Drosophila melanogaster: one gene and its partners. The protein of the gene in region 3 interacts with the protein of the main gene of each other region in a pairwise test. Each region holds a gene or a part of one and is shown on either strand. Other genes may lie near its edges. The genes, in order: Pgam5, Cpr64Aa, Sirt2 and E5.

Region 1 (6,861 bases), on a different chromosome or scaffold from region 3:
TGTGCCTGCATGTGGATCATCTTGTTGGGCAGGGCGGGTGCCAGTCCGCGGGCAAAGTCCTGTCCCCACTGCTCCGCCTGCTGAGAGTGCATCTGCTGCTGCGGATTTCCGTGAATATTTATGTCCCGCATCTCCTGGAGCAGAGTGTCCATCTGAAATGACTGCGGTGGGGCAGTGACCTGTCCCAGGAACTCGTTGATCAACTGGTCCTCGGGACGAGCAGCGCGCTCGAAGTGTCGCTGCACATAGCCCTCATCCTTGTGGGCAACATCGCGGGTGAACTGTCCGCCCAGTTGCATGAGAGGATTAACTCCACCGCAGTCGCCCTCGACCAATGGGCGGAAAGACATGGTGTTCGAAGTGGAGATGCTACGTAACTGGGGCAACCAACGATAAGAAAAGGGGCCAAATCAGGTCCAAAACAAAAGTCCAAATGTCACAAAGATTACCTGTTTATCGGCCGTTATCGAAGCTATCGGCTTTGTGACAGTGTTGCACAGCGCTCTAATAATAATAAAATATATCGCCGCGCAAAATCTTATCCGCCAGAGAATTGGTTTCGAACGCCAAATCCCCGACTGCACCATGGACTACGACCTTTTTCAGTCGGATGACGAGGAGATCCTGGCTACCTTCATACAGGCGACACAGAAGCAGGAAACCCTGAGCGCGCAAATAGACGTGGACGATAGCGAAGAGGACCTAGTCGACGGTCTACACTTGCCCGAGTTCAACTGCAGTGGCCGAGACACTCTGAAGAGCCAACTGTGCGAGGGAGGCTTTCTGGGGAATGGCTACGCCCAATTGGATCCGCCCCGCTCTCGCCTGGATTATCTCTGTTTTGACTTTGCTCCGGCTCAATTAGCGGTTGGCGCGGTAAGAAACTACCTGTACGGCGAGGCCTGGTGAGTTTAGAGCTCCCCTGGCAGCTGCCAACAAGTACAACTCTTCCATTCTCAGTAAGAATGTGCAGAAGCTGTTAACCGTCGTGATGGGCCAGCAACACCTGCAGGCCACGGCCGCCTCTATGAACTCTGGTTGGTATAGAGTGCGCCAGCAGGTCACACACTTCTACCATCTGATGCTGCTCCTACGAGGCAATGAGCTGCTGCCTTCACATTTTCTTGATGGGTTTCGACAATTGCTCAACGATCAGCTGGATGCGGATACCTGGAAGGTTTTGTATTTTGCGGAGCACAACAAGGGAAACGACTGCCAGGCGCCGGCGTATCACCTGTATCACGGCGTACTGGAGTGGCGTTTTCTGGACCTGCATATACTGTACGCCTCTGGGAATGATCAAGCGTTCCTAGGGCAGCTGGAGCGCACACTCGACGATCTGATCGTTTGTGCTGGACATCACTACCGCAGCAAACATCGCTCGGAGCTCATCCATTCCTCGCCGTTCATGTGTCGCTGCAACAAGGAGCTGTGGCTGCTGCTGAAACGTCTTATTCCCAAATGGCTGGGAGAACGGGAGCTAGACTTTTGGACTCTATTCCACAAGGCCATGCAGAGGCACAAGTCACTCCACTTCCAGGGTGAGTGCACAAAGAAGCTAGACCGTGCGGCTTCCCCTCATCTTATAGTCGTTTTTCTTCTCGAGGTGAGAGCAATGCAATTTCTCTGGCATACCACGAACTCTATTCCTGGTTGAGGCTAGGACTGGCCCGCTTGGACGAATACAACAGTGAGGGTTGGTACCAGCCGGATCACTCGCCGCTCACTGCGGCACCAGAAAGCTTCCAAACTGCCAGTCTGCTTAAGCAATTTCTGGCGAGCCAGCCGGACGAACAGCAGCGGCGGGTCTACCTAATTCAACTCTCTCCCCTTCAACTGCAGCTGGGCAAGCCGGATACTGATGTCCTGTGCCAGCTGTGGGAGTACTTTCACCGATCCCTCAACTGCAATTTTAGTGTGGGAACTGAGCTAGATCAGCTGCCGCTTACCTGTTCCAATGGGTCGGCCTACGTCGATCGCTACAACAAACTGCTGTCTAAGTCGCATATAGAAGATTTGAATCTGAGCAGTTTCACCATGTACGCGTGGATGCTGGGCAAAACCTTGAAGCTTTTACCATCGCAGGGCAGAAGCAACCAACGTCAGAAACTACTCGGCCGCATATTCAGCAAGTTTAGTGCCGCGAAACTTTTGGCTCTGAATGAGCCTGGTATTCACCATGTGATCGAGCTGTTTCTGTGCCTGCTGCTCTGCCACGAAGATCTCAGCGAGTTGGCGCCCAAGCTGCGCGAAATGTTGCTCTGCCTGGCCCTGGAAAAACTGCCTCCGGTGCGAAGGATTCTCGTGGCCAAGGGACACATGGCCCTGCTGCTTCTGCATGCCCAGCATCGCCTATCTATGGATGACTATGTGAGCAAGCTGCTCAACCAGTTGGCCACCATTCGCAATGATGCAGAGGTGGGCGCCATTTATGTGGGCAGCCTTCAAGCCATCTTTAATCTGGCGGATGACTTCAACCGCGGCGAGCAGCAGCTTCTCGGGCCATGGCTGGCACATTACGTCGAAAAGTGTGGGCAGGCATCGCAGGATCGCGTATGGCAGACGCTTCACAATTTAATCCTCCGTCTCAGCGAGCGGAGAGCTGTGGCTGGCAATGCGAGTGGCATCAAGGAGGCACTTCAACAGCACATAATGCCACTGGTGAGGACCCAATACGTTAGTAGCCATAGCTCATGGCTTCCAAAGCTAGCGGCTAACTTCATCGCCCTGGAGAATAATGGGGACAAACTGCTACTGGGCTTCCTGCAGGGACCAGAACCCATCAATATGGCTGCTTCTGCTCAGTTGTTGCTCCAGGTGTTGGAAGACGGAGGGCGACCTGCCAGCTCCACCATTCTTCAGGTCTGGGTGAAGTCTCTGGTCCTCCTAAACGCACAACACGAATCTGTATTGGCTTTAATGCCCCATGTCACACAGCTAGAGGAGTTCCGACTTCTGGCCATTGATCCCACCTCTTTGGAGGGCGGGCGCGAGCCTCTCTGCGCCTTCTTTGGAGCTCTGGGAAGGCGTGCCCAGCAAGAGGAGGCTGCTGCCCACGTCCGTATGCAGTTGAGCCACAAACTGCATGCCTATGTAAATCATTTCGAGCTATGGCTACCCCCGGATCGAAGCCGATCGGAACTCGGTTCCCGGTTCTACAGCTTCCTAGCCATTGTCATCTATAATTGTTCCACTCTAGCGTACGTGCGATCCAAGCCGAGCTGCTTCTTCCACCTGGCCATGGTGCGGTTCCTGCTCACCACGCAGTTGCAGGCAGGAGTGCCGCCCGAAGGTCGCCTTCCACAAGTGGTTCACAAGATTTTCCCAGTGTTGCTGCAAGGCATTGGTCGACTGCCTTACCGCACGGACGCATACGTGGCCAAGACTTTGGAGCAACTAGTTCAGCACTGGACGCCGCACTTTAGCTTCTCATCCAACGCCAAGCTGGTGGCCCGTCCATATGCCACCCTCCTCCAGGCGGATGTAGATGGAGAGCTGGCGCAGTTTGTGCTTCAGCTCCTCGTTACCCAGTTTTTGGTGGTCCAGCGGCGGAGGGCAGGACAGCATGCGGGCTTGGTGATCACTATAATGCAGCAACTGATAGAGAGCACTGGCAAAGAGCAGGAAGAACAGCTGCTAACCGTTTTGCGCGGCGTGCACATCCCGCTGCTGGAACACGTAATGTTCGTGGACGAAGTGGACCTCAGTCGCAACCAAGTGTTTGGACTTTATAAAGTGCTTATATCGCACGATGCCTACAAGCGATCACAGGCGGTCAGGGATATGTGCTCCAATCACTTGCGATCCCTCGCCGAAAAGCACCTGGCCCACTGCACTTACTTTTACTTCCAGATGCTGATCAACCTGGCAGAGCTGGCGCCGGATCTAGTGGCTCCCATCCTATCCTTTATAAGGGAGCAGGCAGAGCAGGTGGAGCTAAAACGCGGCGCTGGAGAAGATGTGGGCATACGCAAGTGCTTGCAGCGACTCCAAAAGGTCTTGAGCAGGGTTTAGGCTCCTCATGGCTTCTTTTGTACATATAAGGATTCTCAATAAAATGTTAGGCATTCTATAAAATCTTTATTATTTCAGTCGGAAGATTCAATGATTCCTCCTTAAGAGATATACGTTACGGTGCGGCAAAATGTACATGGTGGTTTACACAGTCTCGCGATCTGTGCTCAAGGTCTCAGTTAAAGTGTTGGAAATAAATACATTATGATTGCTTCTCCTTTGGGCAGTTCTATAAACAGACGGCTAAACCACGTTTTTGACGTCGCGCGGTATGCGATTGGTAAGCAGCTCGGCGGGCATAAAGCCGGAGTCGCCCAGGTACTTGATGGACACGTTGCCGGATGGACTGATGGTCAGCCAGGTGATGGAAGCGTGATTAATGTTAATCCGTAGCCAACCCTCGGCGGGGAACTGCAGGGCTCGGCAGACAAAGTAGCGGATCACGTTGCCGTGTCCCACGATCAGGGTATAGCTCTCCTTCTCTTGGTCGGGATAGGCGCGGTGGAAGTATCGGCGAAAGCCGGCCTCTATGCGCGATCCGTCGCGAAGGAACTGCTGCAGTGAAATGAAAGCCGAATATCATGTGGAATACGCACTGGGTTGACCCTTGACTTGACTTACAGATGCCTCCGGCTTCCAGTGGCCGACTGGCGGCTGGGGCGGAATAGGCGCTCCTTCACGCAGGAAGGCACAGTTCACCACTTTCTCTTTTTCGAAATCGATCTGCTTGAGAATAATATCGGAAGTCTCCTGGGCCCGCACCATTGTGGAGGCTACTACCTTGTCCCACTTGATGCCCAGCTCGCAGAGCCGTTTCCCAGTAAACTCCGCCTGCTTGCGGCCGCGCTCCGTGAGATGATGCGTGTCATCCGAGTCACCCACGTCCAGATACTCGCCATGCCGCACTAGGATAATGTGGCGCGCCTTCTTGGCCTTCGCCTTCTCAAGCTCCGCGTTGTAGCGGTTCTCCTCCTCCGGCTGGCTGTTTCGCAGTGGACGCACGAGGGCCCGTGGCTCCCGGCAATCCCAGTTGGTGTCCCAAAGGGCCCACGGATCCACCGGCTTATCACTGTGCGTCCACGAGTTCTGCACGACCGTCTGCGGGTCCCGCAGCCGCTGTAGGTAGTAAGCCGCCAGTCCGGCTCCTGTGCCGCACACGAAGCTAGTCAACTTTCGCATCGTTAGGGCTTTTAGGTATTTTCTTTAATTTTAGTTTTGTTCCGCTGAATAAGTGCGGTATTTAAATACTGCGATTTGGTATTTGACATACTAGGTTAGCGGGTATATAAATACCGCGCAAGACCATTTAGAATTCAACTATCGAAAAGTTACCAAGATGAATCAAAAATACGAAATATATTTACACAATTATTGTATACCAAGAAAATTAAGGATCCACAATCAATTGTTTCGTTAATTATTCCGTATGTGTTTCTTAAAGAAATACCATGCAAATACTGAATACTGAAAAGTACCAGCGCTGGCACTCCTTAATAACAATCAGGTTGACGCGATATGGCAACGCCGTAGTGTGAAAAATTGCAATTTTTTTCATTTCACACACACAGACGCGACAGATACGCCAGCATCGGAACGAAGGACGTAAAAAGGCCGCAGAAAAACGCCTATCAAAGCTGAGGTTTATTGAAGGGGTTATCAGAAAGATATCTCTAGGAAAAGCCGCCAACAGGAGTCACAGCGTCGACATTCCATCGGAGCAGCAAGAAGCAGAGGCGGGGGCAATAAGAAACGGAAGAAGAAGAAGCCGATTCGACGTTTATCAATTATGAATTTCCTGGGATTCGGCCAGTCAGCGGACATTGAGATAGTCTTTGATGGAGCTGAGCACAAGACGGCAGAGGTTAAAGGGGAGGACGGCAAAGTGGAGAAGATGCTGCTATTCTACGACGGGGAGACGGTATCCGGCAAGGTGCGTCGTGGTCAGCATCGGGGGGAGTTCCCCCAAGCATAACCAGAGATAAACCCATATCCACCCCCTTTTCATCCAGGTGAACGTGACCCTCAAGAAGCCGGGCAGCAAGCTGGAGCACCAGGGCATTAAGATCGAATTCATTGGCCAGATCGAACTGTACTACGACCGGGGTAACCACCACGAATTCAAGTGTCTAGCGAAGGCCCTGGCCCGCCCGGGCGATCTCATCCAGAACAACAGCTATCCATTCGATTTCCCCAAAGTGGAGAAGCAATTCGAGGTGTACGCCGGCTCGAACGTGCGGTTGCGGTACTTCCTGCGCGCAACCATCGTCAGGCGGATCAGCGACATAACGAAGGAGGTCGACATCGCCGTGCACACACTGTGCAGCTACCCGGAGATGAACAACCCCATCAAGATGGAGGTAGGCATCGAAGACTGCCTGCACATCGAATTCGAGTATAACAAAAGCAAGTACCACCTGCGGGACACGATTATCGGCAAGATCTACTTCCTGTTGGTGCGCATTAAGATCAAGCACATGGAGATTGCGATCATCAAGAAGGAGAGCACGGGCACGGGCCCCACCATGTTTAACGAAAACGAAACGATTGCCAAGTACGAGATCATGGACGGAGCGCCCGTCAAAGGCGAGAGCATACCCATCCGGGTCTTTCTTGCTGGCTACAATCTCACGCCGACCATGCGGGACATTAACAAGAAGTTCTCAGTCAAGTATTTCCTCAACCTTGTGCTGATGGACACCGAGGACCGGCGCTACTTCAAACAACAGGAGATCACGCTGTGGCGCAAGGCAGACAAACCGCGTTACCATGGCGCTCAGCAGCACCAGCAACAGCAGCACCAACACGTTCCCCTGCACGCTCCGCCGCACCTGGTCAGCGGTCCTGCTG
Region 2 (7,211 bases), on a different chromosome or scaffold from region 3:
TCCGCTGGCAGCTGCCGCCAGTTTCGAATATAAAACTGAAGACCACGCGGAAAATGCATCTCACATTTGAGCTGAGTTCTCGCAGTGCAGACACATCCAAACCAGAGCTCCCTCATTCTCACATCCTTCGCCATGATTGCCCAGGTGAGTTGGCCAAAGGAGTGCAGCTTTTAGTTGGCTCAACTGATCATGGAATTCCTCGCCAGACTCTGTTCGTTTTGGGACTGATCCTGTCCGCCGTTGTGGCCATTCCCATTGATCCCTATGGACTTTCGGCCCCTGGACTCACCTATGCGGCTCCCAAGTTGCTTGCTGCTCCTGCCATTTCCTATGCTGCTCCCAAACTCCTGGCGGCTCCTGCCATCTCGTATGCCGCTCCTGCCATCTCCTATGCTCCCAAGGTCCTGGCTGCCCCCGTCGCTGTGGCCAAGGTGGCTGTTGCCGAGCCCTACGATCCCAATCCGCAGTACAGCTTCTCGTACGGAGTAACCGATCATCACACCGGTGACTCCAAGCAGCAGGAGGAGACCCTGGTCAACGGAGTCGTCCACGGCAGCTACTCCCTGGCCGAACCCGATGGCACTATTCGCAAGGTCACCTACACCGCCGACAAGGTCAACGGATTCAATGCGGTCGTGGAGAAGAAGGGCGTGGCCGCGGTGGCCATTGCCAAGCCAGCTCTTGCCGTCGCCGCCGTTCCCGCCATCACCAAGATTGGATACGCTTCGGCGCCTGGTCTGAGTCTGGGTGGATACCACTAGGCGATGAACCGGTGGACCAAGCGATGACAAACTCCATGGCCTAGTTGTAGGACCGTTGTTAAATAGTTCTAATGCATTTACCCACTTTTCTGTCAGTCAAAACCCGAAACACAAGGACGTGCGTGCTGTTGCCACCCCGCTGTTGACCCACATTCCCAATCTCCGATCGAAGGATCGCCACCATAGACTACGTTTAGGGATACCGTTCTGGGGATCTGGGGAACGGCTATCGGCCACTTAGTGAATTAGTAACTGCATTTACTGAATAAAAGTTTCGGTACAAAAAAAAAGATTGAATGAATTGTTATTAGTTGTTCGATGGAACTGATCGGTTGGAAGTGATATTCGAAAAGTTGAAATATTTCTAGGAATGCTCCACATTCCCCTGCTTAACCCAGTTAAACATTGGGGTAGGTCCCGAGCTTCGAGTTAAAGCTCCCAATCTTAGATTCCGATCACGTAGTGCCAACTATATTTACGGTTATCACAATTCATATTGGTGGGGCTTCAATGGAGGGGAGAATTGTGCAAGTTGGGCCATTGGATGGCACGTCCATGGGGGAAACTTTTTGCAGGTGGACCAGGCACAAAAACGGGCCATTACGTCAGCAAATGGAATCGTTTTTGGCAGCGGTTGCCACACGGCGCATGTTATCGCGGAAATGTGGAGGCCCTTTATAACCCCGATCCAATGGCAATCCAAGACAGTTCCGACAGCATTGTCAAGCACAAAGCACCATTGGAAAACCACTATCCACCAGCAAATCTAGTCATGGCCCTGATCAAGGTGAGTTGAGGGAATCCTGGTCAAGGAATGTGATTGAACATACTACTAGGATCTGCACAAGTGTATATCTTGATCATAAATCAATCAATGCACCTTACTTAACCCACAGATCACCCTCATCTGCTGCGCTCTGATCGCCGCCATCGAGTGCGCCCTGCTCCCAGCTGCTGTTCCAGTGGGAGTGCCCCTCAACACGGAGGTGGATCCACATCCGCAGTACGCGTTCGCCTATAATGTGCAGGATGCCCTTACCGGGGACAGCAAGAGCCAGCAGGAGGTGCGGGATGGAGATGTGGTCAAGGGCTCCTACTCGGTGGTCGATGCCGATGGTTCACTGCGCACCGTCTTCTACACCGCCGATCCCATCAACGGTTTCAATGCGGTGGTGCAGCGAGGACCAGTTCCGGTGGCTGCTCGCCCATTGGTGGCTCCAGTGGCTGCTCCAATCTTGGGCTAACTCCACAATCTTTCAGAGCCTTTAACACTGCTTGTAACCTAGCTTTTACATAACTTATTGTCTGCTCCTTAGTCCGTTGTAAAGTCAGTAATCATTAAACAATAAACTCAATAAGCCAAAGAAATACATGAAATCCTTCAATCATATTCAAGGAAAATCCGCAAGTATTCGCTTCTCAAGGCGTTGATTAACTAAAATTAATCAAAAGCTCTACTAAAATTCCGAAACGAGTTTAAATTTACACCTATACATTTTTATTAATTAGTCAGTTGATTAGACAAGCTCAAGGCCCAAAATGCATACTTGCCTAGTTAATGATAATGAACTAAATTAAAAACACACTTAAAAGTAGTGCAAAATAACAAGATATTCAATGGACATTTTTTCAAGATCAAAATTTGCGTGTTAATTATGATGCAAATATCGTCGTTTTGAACTTGAAACTTAGCAGTGTGTTAACTTTTTCAATTACATCATAATTGCGGGTGTCAAGAAATGGAAATGGTTATGTGCTTAATGGAACTAATTACTTGGTGAACATTTTCGTGACTCCATGCCATGTAAAAGTGGTTTTGTAATTTTAAATGTAACAAAATGTAACCAGGAAAAGCCCAATTCGCCAAAGAAAGCTGACCCATTCCACTTACATAAGACCGCAATCTTAGATGGTTATCTCCCCTCCAGCTGTCCCACGCCCAAAGAACTCTTCCACTCCAAATGAATACATTCACTCTCGCTGGCCCAACACGCACTCAAATTATTCAATAGCTTAATTGAAAGTAAAAAATCGGCACGAGATGCAATTTTTGGATTACGCAAACCCCAACCCGAGCATGTCCATAGATGTTGCTGCCGGCGCCGACTGCAACTGCAGCAGTTACTGCAACTGCAACTGCAGCAACGCCTAACAAGCGGCGGTACGCGTTGAAAATTAGTGATAATGGCCAAAATTGTCCCAATGGCAACAGAGCAGCGAAACAGAACCAAATCTATACACTCAAAAAAATACTGCATGACATTCGAAAATCTATAGGATTGAACAGAATATTCTACAATTGATATCCTTTTGTATTGTATATGTTATCCAAGTACTTTTTTCGTAGAGATTTTAATATCACATATCACATTCATTGCGGTTAGAACTTTTTCGTTTTCTCGCAGTGCATTGAATGCGTCTGGCGTAGATTTTTTGGGTGGGCGCGGCTTAGAGCAGCCAGCCAGTTTCGAAGGCTGTGCCCCAAACACACCTTTCAACAATCGACTGCTGGGTGCGTGTGCAGCGTCGCCCCAATCTGGTGGCCATAAAGTCGAGACATGGAGACATGGGAGGCACTGGTGCTCATGCGTCCACCACACCTGATCCGTCCGGCCACCCGGCTTAGGCCCAAATAATTCGCTTTCGAATTGAACTTTTTTGTCACGACAACAACGACGGCGATTCAGCCGGCGTGGGACCAGTTTGCTTTGGTCCAGCACAGTCCTCCCAGACTCCCAGACATGCGTGAACCGCCAAGCACCTCCAGCGCCTTCAGCTCGACCGGCAGCTCCTCCACCTCCGGACAGCCCCTTCTGATTGCCATGGGCAGCGAAAAATGAATTATTTTATATTTGTCGCGATCGATGCGAGCATTTCGCATAGGCACAGGCCGCTACAGACTCCACACGCATGCTCACTTTTTAGTTGTTTATTATTATTTTTTGTGTCTTGCTGCGCTTTTTGCATAAATATCTGGTGGCAGGCGGCGGCGGAGGCTGTGGCGGATTTTTGGGCTCGCGTCTATGTGAGGCCTATAAAAAGCAATTGTCGTGCGGCCACAGAACCACAGATCGAGTTCATTTGTCAGTCGAGCAGCAGTAGACCTCCAGTTCTCCACTACTCCATCGCAAACACCAAGCAATCCGTCCAGAATGGCACAGAAACTGATCCTCGTCCTGAGCGCCCTGGTGGCGGTGTCCTCCGCCGTTGTGGTCCCTGGTCCCGGACTGGCACTGCCCGCCTATCCATCGTACCCGGCGCTGGCCAAGGTGGCTGCTCCTCTGGTGGCCAAGGTGGCGGGTCCGGAGCCATACGATCCCAATCCCCAATACACCTTCAGCTACGATGTTCATGTGAGTCAGCTTCGTAAGAAGTTATTAGTCACCTCATAAAAAGCAATGCCAATTCAGAAATCTGCATTCGAATTTTATTGCTTTATTGAGCAACTGGTATGCAAATTTTGATTTTGCCAGACATTTTTATGAAGTGTTTATGGAAGCTTAGAACTATTAAATCCGACCACTTGGTTGAGCAAGTTGGATGTTGGATATAAAATATTTATAGTTTCCTTGAAATCCTTAGGATATAAGATGCAAAGGATTCGTTTCAAGGCATTTCTTTAAATATAAAGTACCTATTCCTATCCTTTGCTAATCCAACAACTTCCTTCTGCCCACCAGGATGGCTCCACTGGTGACGTGAAGAGCCAGCAGGAGACCCGCAGCGGAGATGTGGTGCAGGGCGCCTATTCACTGATTGAGGCCGACGGAACCCGCCGCATTGTGGAGTACACCGCCGATCCCGTGCACGGATTCAACGCAGTGGTGCGCCGCGAGGGAGCTGTGGTGAAGGCTGTGGCTCCGGTGGCCAAGGTTCTGGCCCCGGCTCCGCTGCTCCATGCCTCTCCTCTGGTGGCCAAGGTGCCCGCCTATGGTCCGGCTCTGGCGCCCGCTTACCCGGCTCTGGCCCACGGATACGGACCGGCTCTGGCTCCCGCCTATGGACCTGCTCTGCCCAAGCTGGCCCTGCCCGCCCTCTCGCCCCTGGGCTACCACTAAGTCAGATGGATGGATATACACCACTCGAATAATGCCGACCTCTTGCCGCAACCGAATAATGGACACATCGCGACCAACTTCTCCTGCCACCTGGGCTCCAGTTAGCCGGAGCTCATGGGCCGATCATAGTCGATAGTAGTTGTAGTATTAGTGGAAATGAAAGCGATTTATCGAAATATGTACATACGAATTCACGGACAGCGGATTCCGATTGCCCAGTCCTTGAGTTACGGATCCAATGTTCCCTCATCTACACTCACACATTCTCGAGACCTTTCATTTATGTTTCTTGTCTTCTTAATCTTAAGGCTGTTTGACCGCGATAAATACTCTATAATCCCCAACTCACAATCCCCGTTTCAATTCTTATTTAATCCGAGCCTGTGCACTCGAGTAGAACTCGCAGAATGAGAAACGAGATTGCAATAAACGAACCGAAGCTATGCAAATGGAAAGTTAATGGAGTATTCTTTTACGGGAAATGAAAATTTGGAAGAAAATTACTCTGATTCTTGAGTTTTAAAACGGAAGCTGATTTCTGTTTAAAGCTATTGCTTGAATATTATATCGAAATATATTACAACCATTGAACATTAGTAGGATTCAAAGACAATTACTATATTTGTAGCTAAATAATTGAAAATATCTTATGTTACATATTTTTTGAATATATAATTTTCAAATAAATCGGTTTCCTTCAAGAACTAAAGAGTTATATTTGAATAATATTATTCAACTAATAGGCAATAACTTGCTTGTGAATTTTTTACGCTTAATAAAAAGTAAAGCATACTAAAGCTATTTAATTCGATTTTAATTGCCAAGATTGCGTTTAATTCTAAATCATTGAATGATAATCGCTGTTATTAGAACCAAAGTGCCATTATTCAGTGGCGGCTTAGACTTTGACACTGGCAACACATGAATTCCATGTTAATTTTGGGACATGTAGTGCACTTGTGTCGCTCACCGCCCGTGAGTGGTTCGACCTTAGAACAGAACAAGCCCCACCTGCGTGGGTCACCCACCGGGCTACCGATGCAGTGCGCCACTGAATGGTGGATAGGCTAATCGCTCAAGGTCGGGCCACGCACCACAGAAAACTGCGTAATTCGAGCGTCAATGCAAAGTGGTCTAAATGAAATTTATGGTCTCAATTGGAGAACAGTCCGTCGCCGATCCGATTGCCAATCGATCCGATCGAGTAATTGGCAACTGGCCACCGGGCACAATGGAGAACTTGGAACTGGAACTGAAACTGGCCGCGCCTCGATCATTGGCTTTGGATCCGGATAATTTGATCCGTCCGAGAACTGACCTCCATCGGAATGGTGCGGAGTGGACCCCACATCGTCTGCACATCTGCAGCGGCGCCTTCAATTATGCGCATATTTGTTATTATTTATGTAAAAATGTATAGATCGCATAATGACTTTTCGTTACATTTGCACTTGCATAATGCGACGGGCCTTTGTTGCAATCGACATTAAACGCTTTTGATGATTTAATAAAATTAAATTGAAATGTTAATCGCGACACGGCATGGGCGGGAAACTGGAGGGGGGTAGCTTCAAAAGACATGGGCGAAAGCGTAAGACAATGGGCGTGCTGCAGCTCCAAGCAACCGGTGCTACAATGGGCACCAAATGCTCGAGGGGCTACCAAAATATCGGGAAAATTTTAGAAAGTATTGCGGAAATACGATGATGCACTATAGTTTTCACATTTCATTAATATCTGCGCATTATACACCTTTAAGTTGAGCAACACTTTAAATTTAGACATTCTTTAACAACTTCTAAAGACAATTGTAGTTAAGAAACTTAAAAATGCCTTATGTAAGCAAGTAAACAAAATATAAGCATATAGACACCTGAGTAGATTGATTTTCAATAAAAAACTATAAAATATTTGCATCATAATAAAGTTTTTATTAATAACGACTAAGTCCTAGACCCCGGCCATATGATAATCTCAAAATCTCGCCACTAATCTCAGATTAGTGAATACGATTTTAATGAGATTTTCAGCCAAAAGTCCGACCATAAATAGCCATCGGATTATCACCGATTTGTGGCATTGTGTTTGACGCATTTCACCCATTGTGTCAGTGGAACTACTAAACGTATTGTGGTTACCACCAGCCGAGTGTGTTGATGATCATGATGACTCCGCTGCAGACTTTAATGATTGAGAGGGATTTGTTTGCATTTGGAAGTGAAATTAACACAGAGCGCGGCGGCTTCTGGCCATGTTTGAGTCTTCGAGTGATTCGAGTGGTGCCTTCAGGTGATTAAGTGATCACGCACACATGTAATGCGAGTATTTATTATAACCATGCACGCTGGCACGCTCGATTACAATTGTCGCCTCAAATGCGAGGCGGGCAATT
Region 3 (8,125 bases):
GCTCATTTCGAGCCACGAAAACCGCCAATTTGGATCCGTGCGGCAAGCGGCATTTCAAATCGCACTTTAATATTACATGCGAGTGGATTGGGTGTGCTACACACACACACACACCCAAACAAACCCACCCACGCACTCAATCGTTTTCGTCGAATTGTGTTGACAAAGACTTGAATAAAAATTTATGCGCACAAAAGTATGCCACACAACATGCACATAAAATGATTATGACGATTATGCGAAGCTCCCGGCTACTGCTGCTGATTATTCAGGGATGTTCTATGCGAGCAAACTTCAAACACAGTCCTGGGCACACTTTTTAGAATTGTTGTTCGTACTTTGAACAGAAATATAGGTCCTTACCGTAGCATGGATTAATTTTTTTTTTAAATTAGTTTATATTTAATTAATCCTTTGAATTGGAATATATATACGACGATTGGAATCATTTAAACAAAATATTTTTCACCAAGTCTAAAAAAAAGTTTAGATATATGATTTTTATCAATATTGTTATTTCTTGAAAGTTTTTTAAAGTATTCAGTCGTATATGCCATTTTAATAAGCTTCTGTCCATTTTTGGAATAATAAGCCATTACCAAATAGAAATTTGACTATTTTTAAATTGCGTAGAAAGTTCAGCTTCTAAGAAAACCTATTATTTTGTCGCACGCTGTGCGCAATCCCCTCATAAAAACTCACACGCTTGTACCCACATTTATTGACACAAATTGCGTTTTGAGGACGGCATTTGGCAGCCGCCGTGGCGGTTCCTTCTGCTTTCTTTTTATTAAAGAAATAATAAAATATTCATAAAGATTGCGCTACGATAACCACGCATGTATTTTAGAGTAAACGACCATTAAATATGTTTGTGGCCAGGGCCTAACAATCAATGGCGATCCCAGCTTTATTAGCCCCGTCTGAGTTATTGGCCTTGTTCAAAATGGGTTCTCTGTTTGGGCGCTCAATCAATTCCCGGCCAAGCTGTGCGCCACACAATCATGTTAAGAATTCAATATCAAAGCGCGAGCGCAGCTGCCGCTGATGACATCGTGGAATGTCCACGATTTCATCAACCCCCCGCCTTTCTTACCAAGCCATTGATGAACAGGCTCGCAGCGAGTAGAGGGGGTGGTGATGGTTGAAGCTTGGGTCTGATTCGCAAGCATCGCATTTTGATTACAAATATGAAACATGCTCACTCAAATATGACCTGCCCCCTCCCTCGGTTACCACAAACCCGGCTTCCTCAATGGCGTGTGTATGGAGTGCACTTAATGGCGTTCCGCATTTCTCGCAAGGAGGGGTGAAAGTCAAGTTAATATTGAGCCAACTTGACTCAATTTTGACTGAGTGGGCCGAGACACTGACAAAAAGCTAGAAGAACCTATTTTCTACGTTAGGTCATCTACAAATAATATAAAAAGATGAAAGGTTTTCCAGATAAATATGATTTAATTTAAACATATTAATATAGCTAATGCCATACAAGAGTCATACTTTTTATTGCACAACTAAATATACAATACAATCTTAATTTTATATCACATCCTTGTGAAAAAAGGAATATTATGAAAATTTAATTATTTAAACATTTTCGCGTCAATTGATTAAAAATTACATATAACACTTTATAAGCACAATAGTTAGTGTAAAATCCCAAATAAGAAGACTTTACTCGTTGAGTTTTTGTAAGAAACTGATTTTATTTGGAAATATCTTCGGTTTAAATAGGTGACATGAGAATCGCATCTTAAAGTAAATGGCCTACGCAGAGGCCTAAGTAAATAGTCCCCGCCTTATCGAGGTCCCACGCTCGGGCACATCTGCCTATCTTGAGCGGCGAGGACCTTATCTGTGGTCTCCCACTAAGGGACTATTTTAGGAGGCGGGGAAAGATCTCAAGTGACTGACTCATGTAGTGTGCACTTAAATTACATGTTTTTGAGCAATGCACCCATGTCGCCTTAGATAACAAAATCCTAAATATAATTTATCGCTCTCGATTCATTTACATAAGATATGAACGGAGCCCAAAATTGTAAGTCTTTAAATATATTCGTGTTCATGTGTGAACAGTTAGTCTGAATATTTCTTTTTCGTATTTATTTTTATGTTTCAAACTAATCTTTGTATTGAATAACGTAACGTGATGAGCTAATCGATATTTATTTAACTTTTTCATGCGAACACAAATAATTTTTATTTGTGCAGCAAAACATTCGCTGAGAAGGCAAGACTCGGGAAAATTGCACATAGACAAGATCTTAGGCCATTAGCTTTAATTGCAAAAGTTTTGGGCCAAAAGCAAGTGCAATTCCAATGGCAACAGCAGTGGCAGCTGAAACTGCAACAAATTGCGTGGCTATCAATATTTCCGTGGCTGCATTTGATTTCCTAATGCATCTGCAGCCATTCATGTCCCGAAGTTGACAGGCTGGGATGCCTCCCATCATACCATGCATCCACCTCCGAACCGTCGCCCCTGTCAACGATTAACAATATCCGGTTGTGTACCCCGGCAGTAGCTATCCGCTGGCCCGATTGCGAGCTTGGTTTTAATTAGTCCTGCCCGTACGTATTTTCTATTGGCCAATTCACCGCAGAAGCTTCATTACCGGTCTACCGTGTGTGTCTCTTTCGCTTTGTGCGTGTGTGCTTCTGCAGGACAGATTGCGAGTCATTAAGTTGATGCAGCAGTAGCAGCAGCAGCAGGAGGAGGAGCAGGAGCAGGAGCAGCATCCGTGTAAGCCACACAAACAGGCAGTTAGAATGCCACATGCCACGCCCACAGCAGCGGTCGAGCCATGTCGAGGGGCTGGGCAGCTGTAACTGAATCGAAATCAGCATCAGCACCAACACCAACACCAGCATCGAAATCCATAGCCAAGCCCGGATCAGAGCAGAAAACGAAACAGAAACATGTCGAGAGTTAACCTTTGTTGGCGGTTTGCTGCTTTTTGTGCGCCGGAAACGGCAGAGCAACTCAATCAGTTTTTGCGGTTTATGGTGGCCCGGCCAAAAGGGACACGCTAATGGCTCACAAATGGCACTTGAATAATTGAATGCCGGAAACGGAGGAGAAAGAAAGCTCGCGGTATTAGCCAGCAATGCCTGCGCTTGGCATTGTCCGCTTTATACACGTAATCCACATGTAAACAAATTGCACAATTCAACTACAAATTAACTACGGATGTTACTAACTAATCTTAGGGTCTAAAGCGAAGCATCCTTCTTGTCCCTATCGCCCGAAGTCATCTTATCCGGGTCCGATTGCGGTTTCTCTTTGCCTTGTTGCAGCTCCTCACTATTCTGGCTGCCGCTCAGTTTCTTCCTTTCACTTGTAATTAGCTGCTGCAGCTCTTGGTCCCAGCCCAAGGCTTTGGCCAGAGCCATTACGCCAGCATCACAGTCGCCCAGAAAGGCCACATCCCTAGTGTTATTGGGCTTATCGAAGAGTAGCGATCGCGTGTTGGGATCCATAAAGAGCACACAGCTGGCCTGACCCACTGCATCGCGATTGATCAAGAGGCGAATGCAACGTGGTCCTGGTCTCCACACCAGTGAAGCAAACGGTTGCACTTCCAACGATGTGCCCATGATGATCAGCAGATCGCAATCCTGGAAATCCTCTTCAGGACTGGAGTAAAATCTCTTTGGCAAGTTTTCGCCAAAGAAAACAATGTCTGGTTTAACAACGCCTTGGCACTTTTGGCATTTGGGCAGACGATCGGCGAAGATCTCCGCCTTCATCCAGTCCATGTCGTACTCCTTGCGGCACTTAATGCAGTGGTTGGTGTGGAAGCTGCCATGGGCCTCAATGATCTTGTCCTCGGGCAGGCCAGTAAGCCGGTCTAGCGTGTCTATGTTCTGGGTGTAGTGGCGCTGCAGTAGTCCCTTGTCGTTAAGCAAACGGATAAAGTAGTGGGCCGGCGTGGGAATGAAGGATCCAGGGTAAAGTTCCTTGGCCAGTGCAAAAAACGGCGCTGGATTCTTTTCGAAGTAGTCCAGATCGAATATGGCCGTAGGATGTGGCAGCTCGTACTTCTTCAGATTGCTGTATAACCCGGAACCTGGGGATCTGAAATCCGGAATGCCAGCAGCTAGGAATGGCGATAACTTAGTAAGTTTTTACAATGGTATATAGAATGTACCAACATGTAGATATGCCGGCTCCCACCATGGTCACAATCTTGCGGAAACCATGCACACGCCAATGTTCGGCAAAGCCGTCAAAACTCAAATCTGGAATAACCTGCAAATTTGCGATTTAATCAATATGATAATCAAATTATCGGGTGCTCCGCTCACCTTCTCTACTTTAACTTCCTCCTTTGCGTCCGAGGAGCCGCCGAGATGTAGAGTGTTTGCAAAGAAGCGTCGAACCTTATCCATTGTGTCGTCTAGAATTCAATTCAATTAATGAGTGACAGTAAAGACCTAACTATTTAGACTAGCCTGGGGCCTCCTCGTCGTCGTCACTGGACGAGGAATTGGAGGGCGTCGTCGGTTGTTCCTCCTTCTTTACTTCGATGTCGCCCATGGTAAACAGATTCACCTTCCGGTGAAAGTATGTAAATCTGAGGATAGTGTGATGAATTCTCCCAATTGTTTATGTTGCGTTTTGTTTTAACGTAAAAAGCAAAACAAGTTCTGACAACTATCGATAGGTTTAGGCTAACGAATAAGTTATCTCTAACAGCTATTAAAAAGCTAGAATTTTAATTTCATTGCTTATTGATTTAGATTTTAAAATCAAATTTGTGCGAGCAAACCAAAATATTATAATTACTTTAAGTAGCCTATCAATGAAAGATTTTTATTTAACAGCGATTTATTAAGGGTCGCAAATAAATATGTGTTTGTAACGGTTAGAACATATTATGACTCATTAAACAAAAAGGAACCGAATAATAGAATAACTAAAGCTAAGAAGGGCGCAAAGTTACAAAATCGAGTATAGATAAAATAACAATTACACTTTGTTGATATCTGAATATAAACTAATTGAAAGGTTAAAATCAGCTGAATTGTCAGCACGGAGTGTCCAAATAATCGATAGCTGTTATCGACCCACCCAGTGTTAGGCTCTCTAGCGCCACCAGCCCTGGCCGGCCGATAGTCGATTACTCGATGTTCGGCGGGGGTGCAGCTCTGCCCGTTCGCTCAGCCCTGGAAAACCACGCCAGTCATTTTTGTTTTGATAAGGATACGGATACAAAAAGAGCGTGGCCTGGAAAAACTGCAGAAACGGCGGAGAAAGCGCCCCAAAAGCGAGCGAAAACGGTGGAAACTGATCGTGGGGAAGTGCGCGACAAAGTGGCCGCGGATTCAGGCCCTCCCAATCGCTACGTGGAAGCGTAAGCAGCGTGTTGAAGAAGAGAAGAAGAAGAAGCAGCAGCAGCGCAGCAAAAGTACACAGAAGTGCAAACCAGACGACTGAAATAACAAATCAAAAAAGGCCCCAAAAGGAGCGGCGCAGTGGAAGCAACTGCGGGGGCGGGGAATGGCCGAGGGTCGTCGGTGGCCGCCATTGTGTAACGCCGCCGATGGGCAGACTGTAGATCCACGCTAGGATCATATCTCTCGAATATCATGCATCTGAACCATGCGACAGCCGCCACGGCAGCCATGGCCAACTATCAGCACTACCAACTGCCAGCCTCCCATGGCGGTGGCGGCGGAGGAGGAGGTGGCGGTGGCGGTGGAGGAGGGAGTAATGGTGGATCTGGACCGGGTCCCAACTCGGGACAGCAGCAGCCCACCACACTGGCCAGCCTGCAACAGAGTCCCTTTGCGCTGCATCAACTCACCGCCGTGCAGGCCATCCAGCACCCTACCCACCAAGCCATGCTCCATCCACAGCACCCGCTGGTCCATTTGCTGGACATATCCACTACAACAGCGAACAGTGGCGGAGGAGGCGGGGGCAGCCACACGCCCATTTCTCCTATGAAACAGGAGGTGCAGAGCGTGATTAGCGAGGAGGAGGTGGTGGTGGACGATCCGCGCAAGAAGAAACAGTGCCACGTGTGCAAGAACAAGTTCCGGCAGCTGACCACGTTACGCAACCACATGAAGATCCACACGGACGAGCGGCCCTACAAGTGCAAACACTGCGACAAGGCCTTCCGCCAGATCTCGACGCTAACCAACCACGTGAAAATCCACACCGGAGAAAAGCCGTTCACCTGCAACATCTGCGCCAAGGACTTTCGCCAGCAGAGCACCTTGATCAATCACATCAAGACGCACAAGGGTGAGTGTGTGGTCGCATCGTCCCAATAGACCTTATGACCTAACTCTATTTCTCGCTTCGCTTACGGGCAACAGCGGCGGAGTCCAGCACGCCAACTTCCCTGTTGAACTATCAGCCGCAGACGGGCAGTGGCAAACACCGAAAGTCCCAGATGCACCAGGCCTACCAGCAGCAGCATCAGCGCGTCCAAATCTCAAAGACCTTGTATTCCGGCAGCTACAGCTCGCCGGCGGCCGAGGAGCTGGTGAAGCCGTTCCAGTGTAGCGTTTGCAAGCGCCGCTTCCCGCAGCTGAGCACGCTGCACAACCACGAGCGGACCCACATCGATCCTAAGCCGTACAAGTGCGAAACGTGTGACAAGTCCTTTAGCCAGCTGGCGACGCTGGCCAACCACAAGAAGATCCACACGGGCGACAAGCCGTACACGTGTTCCTACTGCCACATGCAGTTCCGCCAGCAGAGCACCCTTACCAACCACCTCAAGACGCACACGCATCAGATAGCGCCTGGAGGCGTCGGTGGAGCAGGAGGCGGCGGAGGCGCCGTCACAGCCACAGGTGAGCCGCTTGTGTGTTCGCCCTACCAATGAGCCGCTTTCTGTTATCCATGTGTGCATTGATTATTAACGCTCTTCCCTAACGAAGCTTTTATTTAAATCTTGTACGCATGCTAACTTCAACAAATCATCCAACAATCCAACTCCGTACCGTCAATCTGCAGTGGATCACTCAATGCCCGCTCCTCTGGCGCCCGGGACGCAGCAGCTGACCAGTGGCCTGTTGCCGAACAACCTGCACGGTAGCACGGCGAACATCATCCAGCTGGACCACCATCCGCTACTGCATTTCCTCGACGGCAGCACCACGGTCAGCTCGGTAGTGGCCACGGCGGCGGCCAACACCAAGGTGGAGCATTTCCAGGCGGGCGGCTCGCCGTCGGGCCGGATGACCGTAGTGGGCACCATCAACATGCTGAAGGGCGACAATCCGGACCGGCCGTTTGGCTGCAGCGTCTGCCAGCGGTTCTTCTCACAGCAGAGCACCTTGGTAAATCACATCAAGACGCACACCGGAGAGAAGCCCTACAAGTGCAAGATCTGTGAGGTCAACTTCCGGCAGGTGGCCACGCTGAACAACCACATGAAGATCCACACCGGTGAAAAGCCCTACAACTGTTCCTTTTGTCCTAAACAGTTCCGGCAAAAAAGCACACTGCAAAACCACCTGCGGGTGCACACCTGCTAGACCCACTTCAGATCCAGATCGCAACGCGATCCAGGTCCGCAGCCAGCCAGCCAGCCAGTCAAGCAGCCATTGAGGAATAGTGCAATATGCATGCCACATAGCACATACACTTATAGATCGCATATACGGCATACGAATACGATTACATGAATACTATATTTGAATATATACTCGAAAGTGTTATTTACCTGCTGTGCAGAGCGCAATTGTATGTAACTATATCGTAGAGAGCTGATCCACATGCGTGTCCAATTGTAAATTAAGGCTAGCCGTGTTGGCATAAGCCACAGATGATATGATACAGGGTGTTTAGGCCTAAACTCTATACTATCCCATGATGGTTCGATTTGAGTCGGTGTGTTAAAGGTATCTTAAGGCACTTTAAAGCCATTTAGTCTAAAACGTTTTATTATCTTTTAATACCCATCAATTTCTCGCTTTTCAAAGCTTTGTAAATGAATCATCGGCGTCTTTTTAAGTTTGGTTGCTGTTTTCGAATGGCAAGGAAAATGACTACAATAAATTTAGATGTGACCTACTTTGCACAATAACCTTTTATGCCTGTATATGCATAATTGTTGTCTTTTATATTTCCTTTACAAGGAACATCTTACTAAAA
Region 4 (8,460 bases), 6.5 Mb from region 3:
TTGTTATGGTTTTATTTACAATAAATATATATTTAGTGAAGAAAACACGGCAGTTTTATTATTAGAAAATACATTAATTAATGCCCTATATATCATACATTTGATAATGTATATCTGTTGACATTTCCTGAAAAACAGCTAACCATAATCCGGTGGTTAACCAATTTTCTGATCGTTCTGACTGCCCCCAAAACTGTCATCTTAAAACTCTAGGTCATTCAAAGCTGCTAAGTTGATCTCCCTAGCCAAACATGGAACGTAAACCAGCCGTCTGTTGTGATATAATTTAGTGAACAAGCCTAAGCTGAAGGATCTTTTCGCTGCCGCAAGGTGTGCCAATTACAAAATCAATATTGTTATAGCCAAATTGAATCGATTTCGGAGGCAGGAAGTCCGTTCATAAAATACGACACAAGCTATACAACAGAAGCTAAGCCATTGCAAAAATAAACAGCTAATAGAGAAAGGATACAAGGAGAAAGGGTGCGCAGCCATTAGATACAAGATACAACCCCAGAAATGTATCTTGTGTCTTGTTAGCACCGCCGGGCTGGAAAAAATAATAATAACAATGAAAAGGGAAGAGGGAATGATATGGACTGGGAATGGGAATGGGAATGGGAACTTGTCAATTCGACACTTCATAAATGCAGCCTCGCACCATTGATGGCCATGTATCCACGTATCTGACAGATGCAACTGACTCGGCGGACTGACTGCGTGCCTGGTTTTTGCTATGAACTTGACAAACGATTGCCAGGAGGTAGCATCCAGAGTGATCTAGTTCGGCTTCTTCTTTTTTTTTTATATAGCCCACGATCGCTTGACATTTGTTACATTTGACAGCTAACAATGTAGCTGCAAGATACAAGATACACGACTGTATCTTAGAAGAGGCTGTATAATTGATAATGCCGCCGCTCACAATGGCCACTTAATTATTTTTTCTAGCTCTGCAGCAGCTCTCAATGAAGTGTGTGTGTAGTTTTTCCCACTTTTTCCTTTTTTTCCTCCAGCTTTGTGGACACAAAGGAAACCGCCGTGCGAAAATACGCGCAATTGACAATTAATTGATGTGTCCGCTCTGCTGGCCAAGTTGTTGTTTTTTATGGTTTTTGTTTTTTTTTTTTTGCAGTGGCTCACACCCTTGTCAGCTGTCATTTTTTGTATATATAGAGATTCGAGTGTACCTTATTTTTTAGCCCATGATGGAAGTGCCGGATCGTTTCGTTTCGATTTCGTTTGTTCGACTGTCCTGGCCTTTTTGTGCGCCCTATTATTTATCACTTATGTGCAATTGTGTTTGCTTTCTTTTTTACCGAGTTAGGGCTTAATTTTTATGCTCTCATGATTTTTTCATTAATTTATTGCATTCCTCGCATGTCCCGCGTACGAGGACATTGACTCGGAATCGATAATTGAAATCAAATGAATGACAGACGGGGATGATGTGTTGTGATGATCGATTTGACGGGAATGGCCATTTGCAGTCGGGATGTATGAATGGAATTTTGTGGGTTTGTTGGGATAATGGGTTTGAACAATGTACTACTGAAATGTGCAATTTTATAAATGGGCGAAGTAAAAGGTAAAACACTACTTAAAAACTTGATTTTACAGTTTTATGCTGTGGAGTATAAATACATACATACTTCTTTTTGAAAAATGATTTACATAAGATACCAATAAAATAGAGCAGTGATACTAAGGAATACAACTTAAATATTCTAATGCGTAAATTCGATTTCTAACGATACATATTTATGAGGTATACTAATTGTTAGCTGCTAACTCGTAAGCCTTTAGAATGGGAATCCCGAAGCAGCTTGTCCAATTACAGTGCCCTCTATTTAAGCCCTCCATAATAAGGATCTCAGCCTTGTTAATTTAACCCGTTTTCCCAGAACTTCAACGGCTGCATTAGAGGGCAACACCCAGAAATTGCAGCACGTGCAAGCTGAATTGAGTTACTGACGTATCATCACCGTCGCTATCGCGATGATCCCCATTATCTTACTCCAGATCGGGAAAAAATGGAAGAAAAACAAACCCATGTAACCTGGTATTACTCACACGAGTTACAAAACAAACGGAGATGAAAAACATTTACAATTAATGAAATCGTTATGCGAAACATTGACATTTCACGTTCATAAATCAAGCGAAAATTACAGGCGGCGCGGAGAAAAGTGAGAAAAAAGAGAAGGAGCGGCGGGAAATGGGAAAACAAGTAGAAAGGGAGAAAATAATGAAACGGAGTACAACATAATTAAGGCGTAACGGGGATACATGTACACTTAAGCAGGTGAAAGGCGTGTGAGTGTGCCGAAAATTATTATTATATTTAACCGGCCGAAAAAAAACATGGATACCAACATGGCCTGGAAATTCAAATGGTAATCATGAGAGCAGCGGAATGGTAGAAAAAAGTGGTTAAACCGTAATAAATGACAATGTTTTTGAGATGCGCTTTGCGGTGGCTCTTCGCTTCTATCTGCCAGTTTTTTTTTTTTACCATTCCTCTCGGTTCTTTGCTTGGTTGCCCCAAAACCTCAATTAAAAACGCATTAACATTTCAATGGTTGCACTTTTCGTACGTTACACATACGCCGCATGGGCCCGCCGCATGAGTAACTGGCGCCGTCTGTTGGCCATTAATGGTAATTTCGAGTGAAGAGAAAAAGTATAAATAGAGCAAATAAATGCTAAACACACACTCACACACTTGGCTGGCCATTTAGGTACGCTGCTTGACCTAACGATGTGTGTAATGTTGTTTAAACAATTTAATTAAAATGTAATTTGTTTGGAAATAGTTATCAAAATGGGTTCGGTTCCCTCCACATTCCCCCCTTCCTGTTCGCTCCCATTCTCCGTCCCGCTCCCTCTGATGATGATGAGCCCGATACACGTCTAATTAACTTGTAATAAATGTTTGCCATTTGCTTATTTAACTTTAATTATATGGAGCTGCGCGGCAACAACAGCGATAACTGAATAATTGCTTGATTGGGGTCCTCTCTACTATAATGGTGCTGGGCTTCGAATATGACTTAAGGTGTGGTTTCTTTTTCTCTGTCGCTCGCAACACTCAGCGGCCATTTGAAACGGCTATAATGAATGCGGAAAACTCGTTATAGCGAAAAATAACCAACAAAAGGGGTGGTTGCTATCTCCAGAAGAAGAAACCGACCGTAAACTATCATAATATTCTAATGTTCAAATATGAAAAATATATATGTAACAACTATCTTTCTAATAATCCGTAAAAGAGAGATGTACTCTTATTATCAGAATAGGGTAAATATTAAATTAAATGATATGTATTATTGTTATATAAACTGTTATTAATTTTGCAGTAAATTTATTACAAATAATTGTTAGCTTAGATGATTATGCATAAAAATTATATTTTTCAATTTATAGAAATAATTTTTAGCGGTTTTATATACATATGAAAGTACCGCTTGCTAAACCGGTTAGCTTCTCTGAACTCTGAACTTATTGAAAATATTGTAATAAACAATAGATATATTTAAAACAGTGTGATTACTTACTGCCTGGGAATCGTGGAAAAATGCGTCCGTGTCGGCTGAGCAACCATGGATACAACGGATAGCTATCCCGGATCAGATGCGGCGCACTCCCGAACGGATGGTGTCCGTGGGGCGGAGGATGCCCGGGATGCGGTCCGCCGGGAAAGATTCCAAGTGGAATTTGGCCGGGCGGCAGATGCGGATGTGGACCATGTGGCGGTCCAGTTGGCACGGGCGGAAGTTGCTGTTGTTGCTGCTGCTGTTGCTGCTGGTGATGATGAGCCAGTGCAGCAGCCATTTGGAACTGGGCGGCAAGGAACGGCGGTGGCTGCGACGGCGGGTGGGGCGGACCCGCCATGCGCACCGCCATGGCGTTCGGTGAGGTGCGGTTCCCAATTAAAGCTAGATTTGGCGCCGGCAGAGGCAACGGACGGATGAGGGTTGGAGGATTTCCCGTTCCCGACGATGGATCCCCGGACTTTGCAGTATTCCCGGCCGCTGCCGGATTGCCTCCTGCATTGGGGGGCGATGGCGACCGGCTAACCGGTGATCTCTGAGGACTGCGCGATCGATCCAGCGAATCCCTTCTGCGGCAGTAGATATAGCCCCTGGGCGTCCGGCGCCCACTGTTGTTCGTGTTCGTTGGCGAAGCGGGACTTTCGCTGCGCGGCGGCGGCGAAGATATCACACTGACCCTTAGTGGAGCCGATCTCGTCGAGGATTCGCCCACAATCGAGTCGATGCTGAAGGCCAGCTTGGGCTTGCTGCTCGCGGAGGCGGAAACGGTACTGCTGGCGGAAACGGAAGTCGAGGATGCGGCCACCGAGGAGCTGCTGCTCACAAAAGGACTCGTCGGCGCCATGGGCAGCATGTTGAACGTTTGCCGGCCGCAGGTGACCATTTGGTAGGGGTTTCGTTGATTGGAAAAACAAATGAATCACTTTCCCTCCTCTTAAACTTCCCGATTCGAAGTCTCTGCAAGTCGAAGTAGATTATAAGAACACTTGTAGGCCTTAAATTCCATTTTTTCCATTCCATATTTGACTTTTTTGAAAAAAAAAATTTTGTATTTTCGAACGGGATAAATCAGTAAATAAAAGAATAATGCTCAACTAAAAGTTTTAGGAATAAAATAAAACGGTAAAAATCCTACTAAAATCAAAGGGAATGGAAATTGAAATGGAATTGAACTGAATAGAAACGGAAACGGAAAAAGGGTTGTACTGATCGAAGCTCCCAATAAATGGGTTGGTGCTATGGAAACATGATCGCGTACATCGGTTAATGGTTACTAGATATCAGATAAGCACACACGCACTGTTTTTCCGATCAGATAGCTATAGCTATATAGCTACGTAGCGTTGTATCTGCGATGCTCCAGCGGTTGGCATCCGTCGGCGTGACATTGATAAACTGTAACTGTAACTGGAGCGGCGGCAACGCGGCGATTGGAGCGTGACCGTACCGCTTCGCTGGACGATTGACGGCGGCGATTGATGGTTGGCGATTGACTATTGGCGATTGACGGTGGCGGTGGCGGTATCAGTTAACGGTTAACGGTTATGCCGGCTACCCGGTAACGAAACGATTGCGGTGGCCGCGCTGCGATGATGATGAGCACTGTCAACGCCATTAGCATTATGGAGCGTCTAAAGGCGTCTAATTGTTGGCTCCACTTCGCCGCTCGCAACCTCTGTCTCTCTCTCGCTTTCTCTCTTTCTGTCCTGATTTTTGGCGGGGGCGTCGGCGAATCGCTGCGTGGCTCTCACGCTGAGCGTTTTAGCTCGAGTGTCGCGTTGGAAAAAGCCGCAAAAAGTTTGTGGGGCCAGTTCGAGTGTGCTTCTTCTTCCTTTGCTTGTACTTCCAGCGCAGCAATACTGCTGGCGTCTCGCTCGCACACGTGGCTCGGTGCGCGTGCGCCAAAGCAGCGCAACAATAGTTCAGTGGATATTCCGAAAACCTGCTTGGCTCCAAGTGGAGCCACCTCCTCTCTCGCTCGCTCTCCCGCTCTCTGGGCTTGTTGGTGTGTGGGTGTGTGAGGGGCCCCAATCTCTCTCTTTTTCTCTCTCTCTCTGTCGCTCTCTTGGCCATTTTTCGCACCAGTTTATGACAGCGAAACAAACAATTTGCGCTAAACAAAACAGCATCATTAAAGCGTTTGTGGTTTTAGTGCCAAGCGGGTTGGCCAGTTTGTTGGAGCGTAGGAGGGGGAACGGGGGTGGTGCACCCGAACAGTGGATAGGAAGTAGGTCTTCGATGATTAAAAATAAATATAATAAATATAACATTTAAAATTGAAAAGCGAACTGTGCCCTCTTTTAATTATGCAAATACTAACAATAAAAAAAAATTGAAACTTTATTTAATTGAATTGTATTTATTCATTGAAATATTTAAGGCTTAAACGTTTATCTTTCATCAGTAACCGTTTTTAAATTGTTTTCATGTATTAAATTATTTACTATCTACTGGAAAATCGATATTAAAAAGTGTTCAAATTTGTACATAACTCAAAAGTAGAAAATACGCATTTTTCAAAGGATATCGAGCCGATACCACTGTGCAGTGGAATCAACGTCATCGCTTATATAGCTTAGACGCCCCGTCGTCAGTGCTGGCTATAAACCACTTTCCCTCCCCCCGCCGCTTGGCCATTCTACCATTCTGAATTGGCATCTGCATCATGTTGGCCAAAAGCATTTGGACACGAAAATGGGCGGTAACTTGGTTTCTACACCTTCGGCGAGCTGCAACTGCGCGAATCTCACAGATACAGATACAGCGTGCTGGGAAGGGAACGTATCTGCATCTGTATCTGTGCGTGGTCATCCGAGTATCTGTATACCCATCCCCATCCCCATTCCCATCCCCATCCCTATCCGCATCCTCATCCGCTGGCTGTGAGTTGTGAAAATAAACACCTCGTTAAAGATGCAGGAGGAGGCATAAAACATGCAGCGCCAACTTCGCAGCCTTCTCATAGGTAAATACATGCGATTCTCCTCCTTTTGGCCATGAATGGATATGGATGTTGGCCAGAAAGGAGGCGAGAGTTGGCAAATAAATTGACGTGCGCTTGGCTGGATTTGTATGCATCTAGATAAGGCCGTTGCTTGTCGGTGGGGCAGCAGCTTTGCTGCCGCAGATGCACTCATGTATACACGTATACATATATCTATATCTGTGAGTGTGGCACCTCTGGGTGCGGTAATTGTAATTGGTTTTTACTCTTTCCCATCTCCTTTCCAGCTCCTCTGCCTCACGATTCGGGATAAATCATTTAATTAGTCAGACAATGAGCTGGGACGAGAACTTTATGGGATGCTCCATCACCGCAAAAGGTTATCGATCGGCAATCAATGATTTTGTGGGCGTATTTTTTGGCATTTACCGCACTTGATATATGACCAGAAGGAGGGCCCACAAAAAGATAAAATGCAGCAAATGCCTGCATTATCAGTTCGCGAAACGCGATGCAAGTTCTAGGGCCTTTTTCTCGGTAGATGTAAAATTATATATTTGAGATACATTTGTTTAATTCTTGTGTAACTCAGGTTTTAGTTCGAACAAATACGATAAGCATATCTGTTAAATGAAAATGGATTTTAAAATTAATCAATTTATATGTTACACATCTTTTCGTTGAATTTACTTTGTATAATTCAACAAACATTTACTAACATTATTTACATTAAATAAACATACATAAAGAGAAGAAACAAAGCGCCTAATTTGCTTTACAATTAAGCTTCGGTTTATCCTTTAATGACTGTCCAGTAACAATTATAATGTTCTTCGAATAAGGTTTACTTAGCATTTCAGCAAACTAATTAAAGTCGACTAAAATTAGGTTCTTCCAGTGGAAGCACCTTCTTCCATAGACCACTTCACACTGGTGTTTTTCTGCCCCAGTCTCTCTGCATGTGGAAATGCAATCCACAAGACGTTTCCATGTTCCACAGCCACTGAGCGAGATAAACCAACAACTGGCGTTGATTGGCTGCAAGCAGTATCTGTGTGCGAGAGAACGGGACAACAGTATTAGCAGCTGCTAACAAGGGGTTGGACGCTTTGTTCCGTTGGAGTGAGCGGGATGGGTGTTGGCAGGGGCGATTGTCGAAAGGGGAGGGGGCCACAGCGTATAAATCCACTTCATTTAATAATTGCCAACGAGATGGAGCTCATTATCACGAGTACTTTGCACGGCTTTGCCAGTTTCCAACAAGGGGGGATTTTCACAAGGAGGTGGGTTTTTAACAAGGGGTTTCTTTGTGGGCAGGCTGTACTGTACTGTATATGGTTGGCTGGGTCACCCGGTCTCATTCACACAGGCTAAATATAATGTTACTATCTATACATTTCCACAAGGGCCATTATATATTTAGCATCATCTTAGTTTTTAAAATGTACTATTTGGATTCAGTGTAAAAAGTACTCGAACTTTACGCATCTGGATATCCAAAAGTATTCAAATAATTTATGAAATTGTAAAAAAACATTTATGTTTTAGCATTATTTATTGTCATTTATGGACATATTGCTTTATGGGCATATTTTTACCAGTTTTCCTATCCCCTATTCAACTCGCAATTATTGGTTGGAAATTAATTGTTCTGCGATAACCCTCCTACGCTTGTCCATCTGCCCGATTTATAGATACAGATACAATATCTTAGACATACATGCAGAGTATCTGAGTATCTGTGAGCACCCTCGCCTCGTTAGCGTTTTTATTGGACTCGCAAATGGAAGCCCACGGTGCTGATGAATCCGTTGTTGGGAAATCTGATGTGCGATGATGGCGACGGCTTTTCAGTGTCAATTAAAACAACTTCTCGTGACGATCGAGAAGGGAATGGGGGGCTTAAGTGACAGCTGGGGGTTGGCGACGGAGATGGATGTTTAGCGAATGGATAATGGCCAC

Evidence for each region.
Region 1: the proteins of Sirt2 (region 3) and Pgam5 interact in a two-hybrid assay, tested with the Drosophila melanogaster proteins (one large-scale study listed by BioGRID).
Region 2: the proteins of Sirt2 (region 3) and Cpr64Aa interact in a two-hybrid assay, tested with the Drosophila melanogaster proteins (one large-scale study listed by BioGRID).
Region 4: the proteins of Sirt2 (region 3) and E5 interact in a two-hybrid assay, tested with the Drosophila melanogaster proteins (one large-scale study listed by BioGRID).

What each region holds. Positions count from the first base shown.
Region 1 is NC_004354.4:1,868,338-1,875,198, forward strand, and holds Pgam5 (phosphoglycerate mutase 5), read right to left. Parts: upstream 5,229-6,861; 5' UTR 5,194-5,228; coding exon 4,636-5,193; intron 4,570-4,635; coding exon 4,258-4,569; 3' UTR 4,063-4,257; downstream 1-4,062. Other genes in the region: Pex5 (peroxin 5), read right to left, coding at 1-377, 450-587; CG14803 (uncharacterized protein), read left to right, coding at 586-905, 961-1,541, 1,607-4,014; Vps26 (vacuolar protein sorting 26), read left to right, coding at 5,801-5,944, 6,024-6,861. UniProt on the Drosophila melanogaster protein: Displays phosphatase activity for serine/threonine residues, and dephosphorylates and activates Pk92B kinase. Has apparently no phosphoglycerate mutase activity.
Region 2 is NT_037436.4:4,205,795-4,213,005, reverse strand, and holds Cpr64Aa (cuticular protein 64Aa), read left to right. Parts: upstream 1-3,827; 5' UTR 3,828-3,913; coding exon 3,914-4,114; intron 4,115-4,441; coding exon 4,442-4,819; 3' UTR 4,820-5,168; downstream 5,169-7,211. Other genes in the region: Cpr64Ac (cuticular protein 64Ac), read left to right, coding at 133-144, 207-761; Cpr64Ab (cuticular protein 64Ab), read left to right, coding at 1,534-1,548, 1,658-2,005.
Region 3 is NT_033777.3:20,325,010-20,333,134, reverse strand, and holds Sirt2 (sirtuin 2), read right to left. Parts: upstream 4,671-8,125; 5' UTR 4,547-4,670; coding exon 4,462-4,546; intron 4,407-4,461; coding exon 4,315-4,406; intron 4,259-4,314; coding exon 4,162-4,258; intron 4,107-4,161; coding exon 3,220-4,106; 3' UTR 2,220-3,219; downstream 1-2,219. Other genes in the region: CG4360 (uncharacterized protein), read left to right, coding at 5,599-6,262, 6,337-6,819, 6,983-7,506.
Region 4 is NT_033777.3:13,869,743-13,878,202, forward strand, and holds the start of E5 (E5), read right to left. Parts: upstream 5,175-8,460; 5' UTR 4,855-5,174; intron 4,512-4,854; 5' UTR 4,438-4,511; coding exon 3,558-4,437; intron 1-3,557.